2 linked regions of the Tribolium castaneum genome follow. The protein of the gene in region 2 purifies or fractionates together with the protein of the main gene of each other region. This does not show direct contact. Links are inferred from orthologs where the notes say so. Each region holds a gene or a part of one and is shown on either strand. Other genes may lie near its edges.

Region 1 (5,196 bases), about 12 Mb from region 2:
GATGCAGAATTATCTCTTCAAGTTAGTAAAATATAAATTAAAGCATTTCATTAGAGAAAACTGAGTTATAGCTACACAACATTCTTCAAACTACTCAAAAAAAGATCTACGTTATATTTTCTAAAATAATAAAGATTCAAATCGAAAAGAGTATAAATCCATTTTTTGAAATACATACATACTCGTATTTCCAAAAAGGGCTAAACTTAGGTGTTGGTAAACTTGATAAAAAAGCCTTTTATATAATAACTCGTATAAACCAAAAACAGAATAAATAATCGTAGTTTTCTTTTTAAAAGCCTTAACAAAGGCCTAATAGACTCGTATAAAGGCTATGTACTTTAAATAATTAATTTAATTTAAAAATAACTTATTTTTATTGTTGCTCAAATTCTACTCATATTGCCGTCACGACTGTTAGACGTTGCCACAAATCATTTATTTAAAATTCGTTATTTATCAATAAGTTTAATACCAAGATTTTTTTACTATTTTTATCTTTTATGTAAGTAATTCTCTACCACACACCATTGATTTGGTGCACCGGTTTTTGGAGCATCTTCTATAATTGTAAATTTAACTAATCCCTTTGGTTCTATTTTTGATTTTGATTTTTTACTTGAAACCTTAGTCGTAAAAAACTACACATACTCTACATCCATTTTATTAAGCAGACTTTTACTCATTTATTACAGTTTAATACTTATGTTACCCCCACACATCCCCATATTTATTTTTGATTCCTTCTGAAACATCTGACGGTGTCGTAGGACCAGGCGATGGTGGAGGGGCACTCTTTGCAGGTTCCCTGTAACTTAAAGTTCGTTTCTGTTGGTATTCCTCTCTGTTCTTTTTTCTCAACTCATCGTAAGTAGTCACTTGTTTCTGAACTGGAGGCATTTCTTCTTCATAAATTGGATCTACAACAACTATATTTTAGCAAAGTGACCCAGTGTGACCAACTTAATTTCAAAATCACTGATCATTACAAATTAATTAAGAGAAAAAACAACGCAACTTACTATCAATTGAGGGTCTTTGCGCATCATCTAATCCATCAAACTGTGGTCTGCTAGTATCAATATCAACACTATTACCAGGCCCTAAGTCAGTGTAGGTATCTGATGACGAGATACCACTGAACGGCCCTAAAGACATTCCAGGCCCAAAACCGGGTTCTAAACTAAAACCCTAAACTTTACTAAGAATTTAAACAAATTCCAAATAAGAAACCTCTCCTGGAAAGTGCCTTGTCTCCTTCTCCTCAACATTTCACCAATTTGACTATTTGGCAATTGCATTAGTTTTTCCGCACATTTCGTCTGATACGAAAATTTCCCGAGGAAGTATCCCACAATCACTGAAACCGTGACTTTGGGGAAAGCCCCAAACCGGGGATTACCCCGAAGGTAACCTACAAATGTCACTTTTTAGCATGTTCTTGTCAATTTAAACCCACCTGCTTTAACTCCGTAATAAGTGGAGACGCCTAAAATAGCACCGAGAGGCAAGCACCTCTGGTAAAAACTCTCCCGGTTACATTCTTTTATAACTCGCACCTCTTCTGGGCTAAATTTGTACTAAAAAAAATACTAAAGTTTGTTAAATTCGGTTGTAGACTACTCTAAATTACGTATTGGCGGTGCCTTGGATCAGATAAGTGCTGGCCCTCAGGTTCATCCCCTCGATTTGGCTGCATTTTAGATTTTAAAACCCAATTTGATAATTTCTAGGTTAGGTTAAATCATTTTTGACATTTGGCCTTGACTTGGCCCCTGGCGGTCAAAAATTGAATTAAATTCAAATTGTAAAAAATGAAAAAATGTTAAGACAGATGCAGGAAATGGACAACAACTGTCTGGGGTCGTATAAGTTATTCCCGATTTAGTTTTTGAAATAATTAATGTGTTAATCACAAGATTTAGTCTCGATTTGTCATTGACGCAAGTTTCATGCGCGCAGAGATTGTCTGGTCGACTGTAATGTTCATTCCCCGACATACGCAAGGTGGCGCTGCGTATGTGGGTCTGTGTCACTTGTCAAAAGTCACCATCAAAAATAATTCCTTGAGCGAACGTAATGTCTGTTAATTATATGCTTTGTGGATGATCAAGTTAATTAATTTGAGTGTTTAGTTCCCACTATGAAATTTTGATACACATTGTGTTGTTTTATCAAGACAAACTAATTGAATTCACGTTTGACGATAGTCCTTGTAACCTGAATCATCACAGGTAAATTAAAACTAAAATACTGAGAAATGGCAACTGGAACAACGTTACAAAAAGCCATAGAATTAGTGACAAAAGCCACCGAGGAAGATCGCAATAAGAATTATGAGGAAGCACTTAGGTTATACGAACACGGAGTAGAGTATTTCCTTCATGCCATCAAATGTGAGTTGTTGTAACAAAGTTGGTAAAAACCCGTTTAATTTAACTTCCAGATGAGGCACAAGGCGAAAAGGCGAAAGAAAGCATCCGAGCCAAATGCTGTCAATACCTGGAAAGGGCCGAAAAAATTAAAGAATCCCTCAAGAAGGGCAAGAAGAAACCTATCAAAGATGGAGAATCCGATTCCAAGTATGTTTTTTATCTTATCGTGTGCACTAAACCCAAAATTGTTCTCCAGGGATGACAAAAAAAGTGACAGTGATAGTGATGGCGATGACCCTGAGAAGAAAAAACTGCAAAACAAGCTTGAAGGGGCTATTGTTGTGGAAAAGCCCCACGTGAAATGGTCGGACGTTGCGGGGCTCGATGCCGCCAAAGAAGCCCTAAAGGAGGCGGTCATTCTCCCCATTCGGTTCCCCCATCTTTTCAGCGGGAAACGAGTCCCTTGGAAGGGAATTCTCCTGTTTGGTGTAAGTGTTGACACGTTTTCTCCAGGCCTCCAGCCGTAGCAAAATTCAGTAAAAGTTATACAGTTGTACAGAACCCGCTGAAATCTAATAATCTACGTTAAAACTTACAGCGTTATTTTTTACTTACTAATCTTGTGGGGAAAATAGCGTCCTCAGATACAATAACGTAAGGTTGAAAAATAAGTGGTGGAGAGCTGAACTTGTAAAAATTAAAAACACCGGATATTATGCAACATTTCGTTTATTTACAATCAGCAGGCTAAATATGTTTTCTAATTTTTTCTTTAGCCTGATGTGTGTTGTTAATAGACGTAACGTTGCATAACTATCGTTGTTTTTATTCCTATAAATTCTCCCTCAATTATTTCATGTTCTGTGTACCCAAACATTAGAGCGGCGAAGTCAAAAAGAGGGAGCTTTTGAAGTTAAATTAAACTAGTTCACTAATTGCTTGAAAAAAATGGATCCTGAGCGTTTCATTCTTAATAGGGTGGGAAAAAGTGAACGACTAAAAGTTTTGCAAGAAATATGAAGAAAATACATATTAAAAATTTAAATTTTGCGCAGCGCCTCATATTTTCCAAAACGTAGCGGAGACGGTCCAGAAAAATGTAACAAAGAGAGTTGTAGATAATAAAATTTTCTGCACAAATTCTGCGAGACTTATTTCTTTACATTTTTAATAGATTAGGCCCCAAAAAAATCATTTCCTCTAAAGCGAGGGATTTGTAAAATTTTTTCTGGTTATTATTGAATGCTGGGATATACTTTAAAGCAAAACGCTTGAAGAAAATAAAGATAATAACGACTATGGACTTTTCCACCAGTGGCGTACTCATACAGAGTGAGTCAATTACATTTATCGGTTATATCTGAAATTTTCTTAGATGCAACGATGCAACCAATAATTGGTTAAAGAACTTACGGTTTTTACATTTAAAAAATACGAAGTTTATAACAAAAATTTACTATACTTTAACCACTATCACGTGATTTCAATAAGTTTTTTGATAATATTGGTAGGCTAGAAAGTGTTAGACTTCTTGGAATAAAAGACTCAATCAAAACTGGAGAAGAAGTACATGATTTTCAATATCTAATAATTACTAAATATTTACTCCAGATGATACTGAGAAAAACCAGGAAGGTTGCTATTTTAAACAATTTTTGCAAAGCTGTGGTAATGTAATATGTAGATGTGGTAATATTTGGCAAATTCTCGTCTTATACATATAGACCCTAATAGAGTCCGCAAAACGACAGATCTAAGGATAAAACCTTTTTTGTAATAAACGCGTTTTTACTCGTTACTCATTGCGTATTTTTTATTTATTGCACTTCCTTGCTTTGTATTTCTATGAAATCAACCTGTATTAGCATTAGATATGATTTTTATTATCTTATCTTGCTATTATTGAAAACAGGAAATAGTAAATAATAAAAATTATAAATCCCAAACCCTTCTTGATCATAGAATAGTTTTTTGCTACGCCACTGCTCAAACTCCTCACTCGATGAAGTACGCATTGGCTCCGCCTATCGTGGACGTTCTTAGAGTTCGCCAGGTCTACCATACAAATTATAAATTCAAATGACCACATATGGCACTGCTATTTGTTTACACTGTTTAGAACTGAATTTTTAGTCATTGTGGAGGGAATAACAAATGGAAAAAATTCATCGCTACACGAAAATCGTCAATTTTTTTTATCGTAAAAATAATGTCCGGTGTCTACAAAAGTTTATACAATTTATAAAGGAAACAAATTGTTTTAAAAAACTAAAGCGGCTGTTGTTCAATAATGTGAATTATTTAATTTTTTGATCCAGTACCGTCATGATATCAACAAGGTTCTTTCTAAAACCAAAAAAAATTCTGCTCAACCACTCAGTTTACTGCTAAAAAATACAGCTATAATTTTAACTATTCTTAAATTGTTTCCTTTGCGATTGTACTTCTATTTCCATTAGAATTTCTATTACACTTCACAATTTGTTAAAAAATACTCTTTTCAGAATTGTATGGGAGTGTTAAATTTTACGACGGCCTACTCGATTCTTTTTGTCTCCAAAACTATAAATATCCATCAATAAAATTTTACAAATTAGACAAATTTGTAGTAGAAAAAATGCCATGCAATGGTGCAATAAAATATAGGGTGTTGCATTAAAATAAATCGATCGAGTTATTGCCATTTGTAGTTTGTCATTTGCAGAAAATCATAGTAGGCGATGAAATATCGATTCCAAGTTCGCTTTTTTGCAAAAAAAATGCGCTAAAGCTTAGTGAATCGAATGGAAAAAAGTTAATTTACTTATCTTAAATGGGTCTG
Region 2 (8,044 bases):
GGCAAGAACAAAAAGATTTTTTTTTATTTTATTAAATTATTTTTCTTTATTTTTTTGTTCTCATTATCAGAAAGATAAAGATGTGTAGAATTTAAAACAGTAAACAAAAATGTTGGTCGGCATTTAAAAAAATTTAAAAGAACGTTACAACTCAAAAAACACATGACATTACAAATGTACCATTTAAAAAATAAAATCGTCCTGTTCCAAGATTTTTTAAAAAGTGACCATTAATATTAACAAATGACCATTGGTTCGGTCTGTATATTTATTTATACCAAAAAAGGTAATTTCGACACCAATTTCAAAAATTTCTTCAAATCGTAGAAAAAACGTTGTATGTGTTCAAACTAGAACAGTCTAATTCGTAACTACATTTTCAAAATACCAAAAACTTATTTTTTTTCAAAATTTTTTCGAATCGTTGAAAAAACATTGTATGTGCCTAATCTCCACCAACTTAATTCGTAAGTACATTTTCAAAATTTGCAATATCGAACCATTTCTTTGTTGAAAATTTGTGATTGTAGAAAAAATATTGTATGTGTTTCAGGAGCGGCGCCACCCTCACCCACCTCCTCAAATCCTCCCTCGGCACCGGCATCCTCTCAATGCCTGCAGCATTCAAAGCTTCCGGCCTCTGGCTTGGTGTCATCACCACCATGTTGGTATCCCTAATTTGCACACACACTGCCTATGCTCTAGTCACCTCGGCTCACGCCTTGTACCGCAAAGCGGGCAAAACGTCGATGAGCTATGCGGAAGTTGCCGAAGAATCCTGTCTTCGGGGACCCCCCTGGGCGAAAAAATACGCCTTCTTGCTCAAACAATTGGTCTTATGGGCGATTTTCGTAACTTATTACGCCACAGGAAGTTGCTATGCTGTTATAGTTGCCGAGAATTTCAATTACGTGGCCTTCAACTATTTAGGGAATTTTGATAAAAGAATCACTATAGCTATGTTGTTTTTGCCCTTTTTGCTCATTGCCTACGTGCCAAATTTGAAGTATTTGGCACCAGTATCCATGGTTGCCAATTTTTGTATGGCTATAGGATTAGGGATCACGTGTTATTATCTCCTGAATGACATTCCGTCCATTTCTGACAGACCGGCAGTGACAAATCTGGCAACGTTGCCTGTTTGCATCAGTATAGTGATTTTTGCAATTGAAGCTATCGGAGTTGTGAGTTATTTTTCGAAATTTTTGGCACTTTTTTATTAATAATTCTAGGTAATGCCACTTGAAAACAACATGAAATCGCCACAAAAATTCGTCGGACTTTTTGGAGTACTTAATCAAGGGATGACTTATGTGACCATCCTGTATATAATTTTAGGTTTCTTAGGGTATCTCAAATATGGTGATCTTACGGCTGATTCAATCACGTTGAATCTTCCACGAGAGGAATAGTAAGTATATCGTATACAGGGTGAGTCAAGTGGGTGTGGTGGTATAACTTATGAGTCACCCTGTATATGTAACGAAAAAAATGGTCGAGCGTTTCGAACTCGAATTCGGTTTTTGTTTATCATTAATCGTTTATTGAGCATATTAGCAATTTTTTGATAAATTTTCAAGGCCACAAATCAACAATTTATTTTTTTATTTATCTTTCTGATGCAGAATTAATCGACGATTTCGAATATGTAATCGATTTTTAATTATCTTTGTTGGTTTCTAAATTTTGGCTGAAATTTGTTCGTCTCTAGTTAAGTGCTAGAATATAATTTTTCAAGGTCACATAAATCAACATATTGAACACAGAATAAGGAAAATTCTCCAAGGATTTAGAATATGTTATCAGTTTTTATTTTCCGTTTCTGGTTTTCGTTTTTATATCGAATATTTCGATATATTTTCGAAGAATTGGCATTTACCTATTAAAAACTAATCTTTGAGATACAACCGTAATTTTTGACTTTTGAGCACTGTCTACCACTGGAATTATAATGTTGAAGGCCACAAAAATCAACAAACTGAAGAGAAAAAGTATTTTTGGTACAAAATTATCAAAAGATTTCAAATATGTAACCAGTTTTTTTAACAAATTGTTAATACTTTTTGAAAAAGTGCTAAAAAAAATTTATTTCAGTGCTGCCCAAGCTGTGAATCTCCTTATCGGCCTTGCAGTATTCTTCACTTACGGTCTAGTGTTTTACGTGTGTTTGGACATTTTCTGGACCGAAATCAAGCACCGTTTCACCACCAAAACAGCACTTGCTAATTACGCCCTAAGAACTATTCTTGTGATGATAAATATCATAATTGCGATTCTAGTGCCTGCCATTGTACCGTTTGTCGGTTTAATCGGAGCGTTTTGTTTCTCGATTTTGGGACTTGTATGTCCTGTGATTATCGAAATATTTACGTTTTGGGATCAGGGATTTGGGAAGTTTTATTGGAAATTGTTTAAACATTTGGTCGTTGTTTGTATGGCGTTGCTTGCTGTTGTTTTTGGGTCGAAAGCGGCCATCTCTGATATTGCAAAAACATTTCACTGAAGCTTTGAATGCTAATATAAAGCTCTAATATTTCGAATCTTCGAGAAAAAAAAGGTTATAACGTAAAACTTGACTATTTATTTGTGTTCTTTGTTTGTAATAAAATTAAAATTACTTCTTCTTGAATTGCATTTATTTCATCTTCCCCTTTTTCCCTGTTTATTAAGAAAACAGTAACTCAAGCGATCATTTAAAAATGTTTTCTACTTGGTTTCACAAAGTTTTGGGACAGCAAAATGTCATAGTTATTTCATCTAATTTACACAATAATCTTTTGTTTTCGACTTATAAACAAAAGTTGATGTTTTAGCGAAATCTTAAACAATTCATATCATCCTTATTATAAAAGATATACATTTGAAACAAAAACATTATAGAGGCACTTTTTTACGTAGAATTTAGTAATGTTATCAGAGATTTTTTTTAACAGTTCGTTTAAGTTCAATAATGTAAAGTTGTATATTTTTAAATAGGAATCTTAGTTGGCTATGACATTTTCGAAAAGCTTTTTTTTTGAACTGAAAACAATATAAATACAGCTTGATATTTTTATATTGATAAAAAATATATTTAAAATATTTTAAAGTAGTTGGCCTCGGAAAAATTATTTAAGTGAAGTGAAGTGAAGCAAAAACTCCAAATAAAAAATACTCTTTCTACTTACAGTTATAAAAAATGTTCAGAAAGTCCATCTGCACTTCCGTAACACAGAATCATATCGGTCATTTCAGGATTTGTTTGATTTTTCATGATAATGATCCACTAACACACGAATCAAAGCCGAACTAACAACACACTAATCTGCACATAAGTACGGCGTACCGGCGATAACAGTTTTTGTGCCTTTTTTGCGTGGCGTACTCATCTTTAAATTAAAAAAAATAAAAAAATAAAAATAAGTGTTTTTTTAATATACTCGTACTGTATAACTTGGTCTTGAAATAAGTTATTAAATTAAAAAAAAAATCACATCTTAACCATACAGAATTGAGCTTCACCATCCCTTACACAAACAAGGTAAGAAGTGAATTTGTATTTAAATAAGACAAAAAAAACATTAAACAAATTTTAGGGTGTTAAATAAACAGCGGGAACATTCAAAGCCAAAAACAAATAAGGTAAGACGTTGTATTAAATAATCATTACATTCCAATCAAACATTGTATTTTTAACAGTCTTGTATAACTGGTTGCCTAACACGCACAAAAAATACAATTTTTAAATTTCCCTCGTATTATGTAAGACACCGGCCGGTATTATTTCAACCGTGAACATTTGCAATTACATTTATTTAAAAAAACACAAAAATAATCCTCCCAAAACCCGCCTTTTCTTCATTTTTTATCAGTTTATCACGCACAAAAAGATAAGCGATCCCAGTTGGCACAATTGACAGTTGTGCCCACTTTTGACAGAAATCAAATCGTGTCCAAGTCTCACCAATTTCCCAAAATTTCCAAAAACAAACCCACGATGAAAGTCGTCAAAGACAACGAAAACAAATGGTCAGGATACGGACTTCGCATTTTCCTCAACACCTTATCGCACCCATTCGAATACGCCAAAGTGCTCATACAGGTTAGGAAATTGTGGTGAAAATCGAGCGAAAATTCTGATTGTCTCATTGCAGATCGGATACGAACCCATACCGCCTCACTCGTCCAAAACCCTGCTCGGTAAACCAGCCCTCAAACTGCCAAACATCTTCCAATACGGTAAACCCCCCGAATTTTTAACCGAAAATAAACAGCCCCCTTATTACAGTCAAACACATCAAGTCGGTCGATGGTTTGTCGGGTTGTTATCGCGGCTTGGGCCCCAAAGTATGCGGCAGTTTGATAAATCTTGTCGCTACACAAAAAATGATGGAATATTTGGACTTGAACCAGCAGGACGAAGAAGAGGATACAGATGTTGAGGAAAATCGAAAACAGAAATTTTTGAAGTGTCTCAAGGGCGATATCATTACACATACAACAGCCATAATCATCAGTCAGCCGTTTCACGTCATCACTATACGAATTATGGCACAATTTGTTGGAAAAGAAGCCAAATATGTGTAAGTTTAGTTTACTGTATTCGATTTTAGGGGAGATTATTATTTTTGGGGGGTTTACAGGGGTGTGTTTGGTTCCATTGGTGAAATATACAGACAGAATGGAATTTTGGGTTTTTTCAGCGGACTCATACCCAGACTGATTGGGGATATTTTGTCCGTTTTGTTGGCAAGCAGTCTGACTTATGTTGTCAATAAGTATCTAATAGAAGAGAAGGAAATACAAAATTATACTTCAGCCGCTGTGTGTGTAAGTGAATTTAAAAAAAAACACAGTTGGTGAGCCCGACTGTCATTCAATGAAATATTGTCCCAGCGATTTGAAAAAGTCCTATATTATTGAAAAGTATTTTTTATAAAAGTAACTCATATCTGGAAAAAGTCTGTACACTTGAAAATAATTTCAAAGGTCAACAATGCACTTTTTCAAAACACAGAGATTATGGCCGCACTGTTGCCAATATTTTGACTAAAAAATAACTAAACCATTTATAGTATTTGTTGTTCAAGAATCACATTTCGCAGATGGTGTCCTCATCAATAATGTACCCCTTCCAAGTGGTGTCAAATTGCATGGCTGTCTCGAATTCGGGTTTGTTGGCTGGATCGCCCCCTTATATGTTGCACTACAACACTTGGATTGATTGTTGGAATGATTTGTCGAGTCGTAATCAATTGAAAAGAGGGTCTAGTCTTTTGGTTCGTTATTACAAGGGTCCTTCGTTGATAACAAGTAAAGGCAATCTACTCAAGGGCAACTAAATTTCATGTTATTCAGTAGTTGGATTTTTTTTCATTACAAATTGACGCAATTGTATGTAAATATTTAGAGTATTGTGTTATTTTACAATAAAATTCTTGTTCAGATTTTAATTGGAGTTTTTTTTATTAAGCAAGCAAAAACTTTGGCTTTAACTTTTAAAATGTGCGACTTGATATAAAGGTAAGTTAAAGTTGGATTAAATCTTTAGTTTCTTTGTTTTTTATTACACCCTGTACATATTTCGAAAAAAAGTGTTTATCCCCATTTTGTTTCTTTAGTTTACAGTTGCTGAAATCAGTAGGACGCGTTCTTGCAAAAATTAACAAAGTCGCTACACGGGTAGGAGATTGAAAAAATAAAGTTTGAAAAGTCAAGGAGTTTTCAAAAAAGAAAAAAAGAAAAAAAATTCAATAAGATTACAAGGAATATTTGTCCCCACTTCATTTTTTTACAAGCCAAGGCCCTACTGGAGCGCTTTATTACTAGCAAAAATATTTATTATTTACACGGTAAAAGCGTTGCGAAAATTAAGTTCTAAAATTCAAAATAATTTTGAAAATAAAAAGAAAAAATCTGTTAGGTTTTAAAGAGTGTTTACCTCCACTTGATTGTTTTACAGTCGAACACTATCCAAGAGCTTTATTTCCTGCAATAATAAACAAAATTGCAGTACGGAAAGCCGGTTGAAAAAAATGAAGTTTAAAAAGTAAAACATTTGCAAAAAAACAAAAGAAAAACATTCAGTAAGCAGAATGTTTGTCATCAATTAATTTTTTTACAGTCGAAAGTCTCATGGCTAGGCTATATATTCCTTGCAGAATTGAACAAAATCAATAAATGGGAAGGGGGTTAAAAAATAATGTTTGAAAAATTAAAATATTTTCCAAAAAAAAAAGAAAAAAAAATAGGTAAGGCCCCAGGGAATATTTATCCACACTTAATTTTTTTTACAATCAAATTCCCATCATCAGGCTTTGCTTCCTACAAAAATTAAAACACGAAAAGGGAGTTGAAAAAATAAAGTTTAAAAAGTTGAGATAAAAAAAAGATTGTAAGGTCCCAAGGTCTTAAATTAATGGCTCTACTTAATTTTTTTACTGCCAAAAGCCCTTTATTTCATACAAAAATAAACAAAATCGCTACAATGAAATATTATTTTAAAAGATTAAGTTTGTAAAGATAATAATTAAAAAAAAAAATCAGTAAAGGCCCAAAGAGTTTTTAATCAATAATCACAGTTAATTTTATTACATATTTTTCCCAACTGCTAAAAATTGCCAAAATGGCAATAACGCCATTTATCAGTTAATTTTGACAATACGGTTATTTCACCTGAGCCGGCACTGACTTAACCCCGCCACTGCACAACCCACCATGACAGTTAATTTTGACACCTCTTCTGTCAAACAACCGTCAAAAAAAGCGTGTTTAATCATTAAAATCCTTAAAAAAACGCCCAGTTTTTTAACAAAATGGTAAGTAACGACTCACAATCAATCGAAAAAAACGCCCCACAACCGTAAAACATTACATTACCCCACAATTTCACCCACATATTGTTCGCTTAAATTTAACCTCAAAACCCCCACAGAAACCCCTTCTACTCCACGGCCACGAACGTGCCATCACCCAAATCAAGTACAACCGTGAGGGCGACCTCCTCTTCTCCTCCTCAAAGGACAACAAACCCAACGTTTGGTACTCCCTTAATGGCGAGAGGTTGGGAACCTTCAACGGCCACCAGGGGGCTGTCTGGTGCATCGACGTCGACTGGACCACCACTAGGTTAATAATAATAATAAATTTATTGCTGCAATAAAGCAAATGGGTGCGCGATAAGGTTGCCTCAGTAGCGAATATACAGGGTGCCTCACCTAATACTTTTGAGCCTGATATCTCAGTTATTTGTCAACGTATTTTTATGAAAATTAAAATGCAGATATTTAGGAAAGTAAAGATTAAAATCCAATTAATGCAAAAACTGAAGTCTTAAAATCGTAATTTTAAAATTAAAATTAATAAAACAGATATTAATCTCGAAAGTTTTAGGTGAGACACCCTGTACAAGTTTTGATTAATTTGCTTTTACTGATTTAATCAAATACTACTTAGACCAGAAATATCACCTATTTTGCTACTTTTTAAACTATTTAAACTTTATAGGTTCCTGTCAGGTGCCGGTGACAACACCCTTAAAGTATGGGACTGTGAAACGGGCAAAGAAATCGGGAACATCTCAACCAATTCATCAGTCCGAACGTGTCTGTTTAGCTACTCGGGCAACATGGCAGTGTACACCACCGACAAAGCCCTCAAACACAACTGCGAGATCTTCATTATTGACGTCCGTAACGTGGACGAAAGCATCTCGCACGCCGACCCCATTTTACGCATCCCGATTAAAGGTTCCCGTGTTTCGTCAATCCTATGGGATAACCTGGACGAAACTATAATAACCGGGCACGAAAACGGGGATTTGATCAAGTGGGACTTGAAGTCAGGCAAAGAGATCAGTTCAACACGTGAACACGAACATTTAATCAACGATATGCAGTGGAATAAAGACGGGACAATGTTTGTGACAGCGTCCAAAGACCACACAGCTAAACTGTTCGACGCTGCTGATTTGATGTTACTGAAGACTTACAAGACAGAACGGCCGGTTAATTCAGCTGCCATTAGCCCCATTTTTGAGCATGTGGTTGTGGGCGGAGGGCAAGAT

Evidence for each region. The genes of interacting proteins can lie anywhere in the genome.
Region 1: the proteins of mitochondrial carrier homolog 2 (region 2) and asrij purify together in Homo sapiens (affinity purification with mass spectrometry; 3 studies listed by BioGRID and IntAct, with this or other methods). This does not show direct contact. The link is inferred for Tribolium castaneum from reciprocal best matches to the Homo sapiens genes MTCH2 and OCIAD1.

The regions. Positions count from the first base shown.
Region 1 is NC_087394.1:12,529,331-12,534,526, reverse strand, and holds asrij (OCIA domain-containing protein 1), read right to left. Parts: upstream 1,793-5,196; 5' UTR 1,700-1,792; coding exon 1,634-1,699; intron 1,581-1,633; coding exon 1,460-1,580; intron 1,415-1,459; coding exon 1,234-1,414; intron 1,184-1,233; coding exon 1,023-1,183; intron 921-1,022; coding exon 709-920; 3' UTR 649-708; downstream 1-648. Other genes in the region: Vps4 (vacuolar protein sorting-associated protein 4), read left to right, coding at 2,261-2,396, 2,447-2,582, 2,632-2,863. UniProt on the Homo sapiens protein: Maintains stem cell potency. Increases STAT3 phosphorylation and controls ERK phosphorylation. May act as a scaffold, increasing STAT3 recruitment onto endosomes. Involved in integrin-mediated cancer cell adhesion and colony formation in ovarian cancer.
Region 2 is NC_087394.1:749,233-757,276, reverse strand, and holds mitochondrial carrier homolog 2, read left to right. Parts: upstream 1-3,755; 5' UTR 3,756-3,976; coding exon 3,977-4,081; intron 4,082-4,133; coding exon 4,134-4,218; intron 4,219-4,267; coding exon 4,268-4,562; intron 4,563-4,622; coding exon 4,623-4,809; intron 4,810-5,054; coding exon 5,055-5,321; 3' UTR 5,322-5,432; downstream 5,433-8,044. Other genes in the region: proton-coupled amino acid transporter-like protein pathetic, read left to right, coding at 554-1,184, 1,233-1,411, 2,095-2,503; eIF3i (eukaryotic translation initiation factor 3 subunit I), read left to right, coding at 6,795-6,797, 6,914-7,107, 7,486-8,044. UniProt on the Homo sapiens protein: Protein insertase that mediates insertion of transmembrane proteins into the mitochondrial outer membrane. Catalyzes insertion of proteins with alpha-helical transmembrane regions, such as signal-anchored, tail-anchored and multi-pass membrane proteins.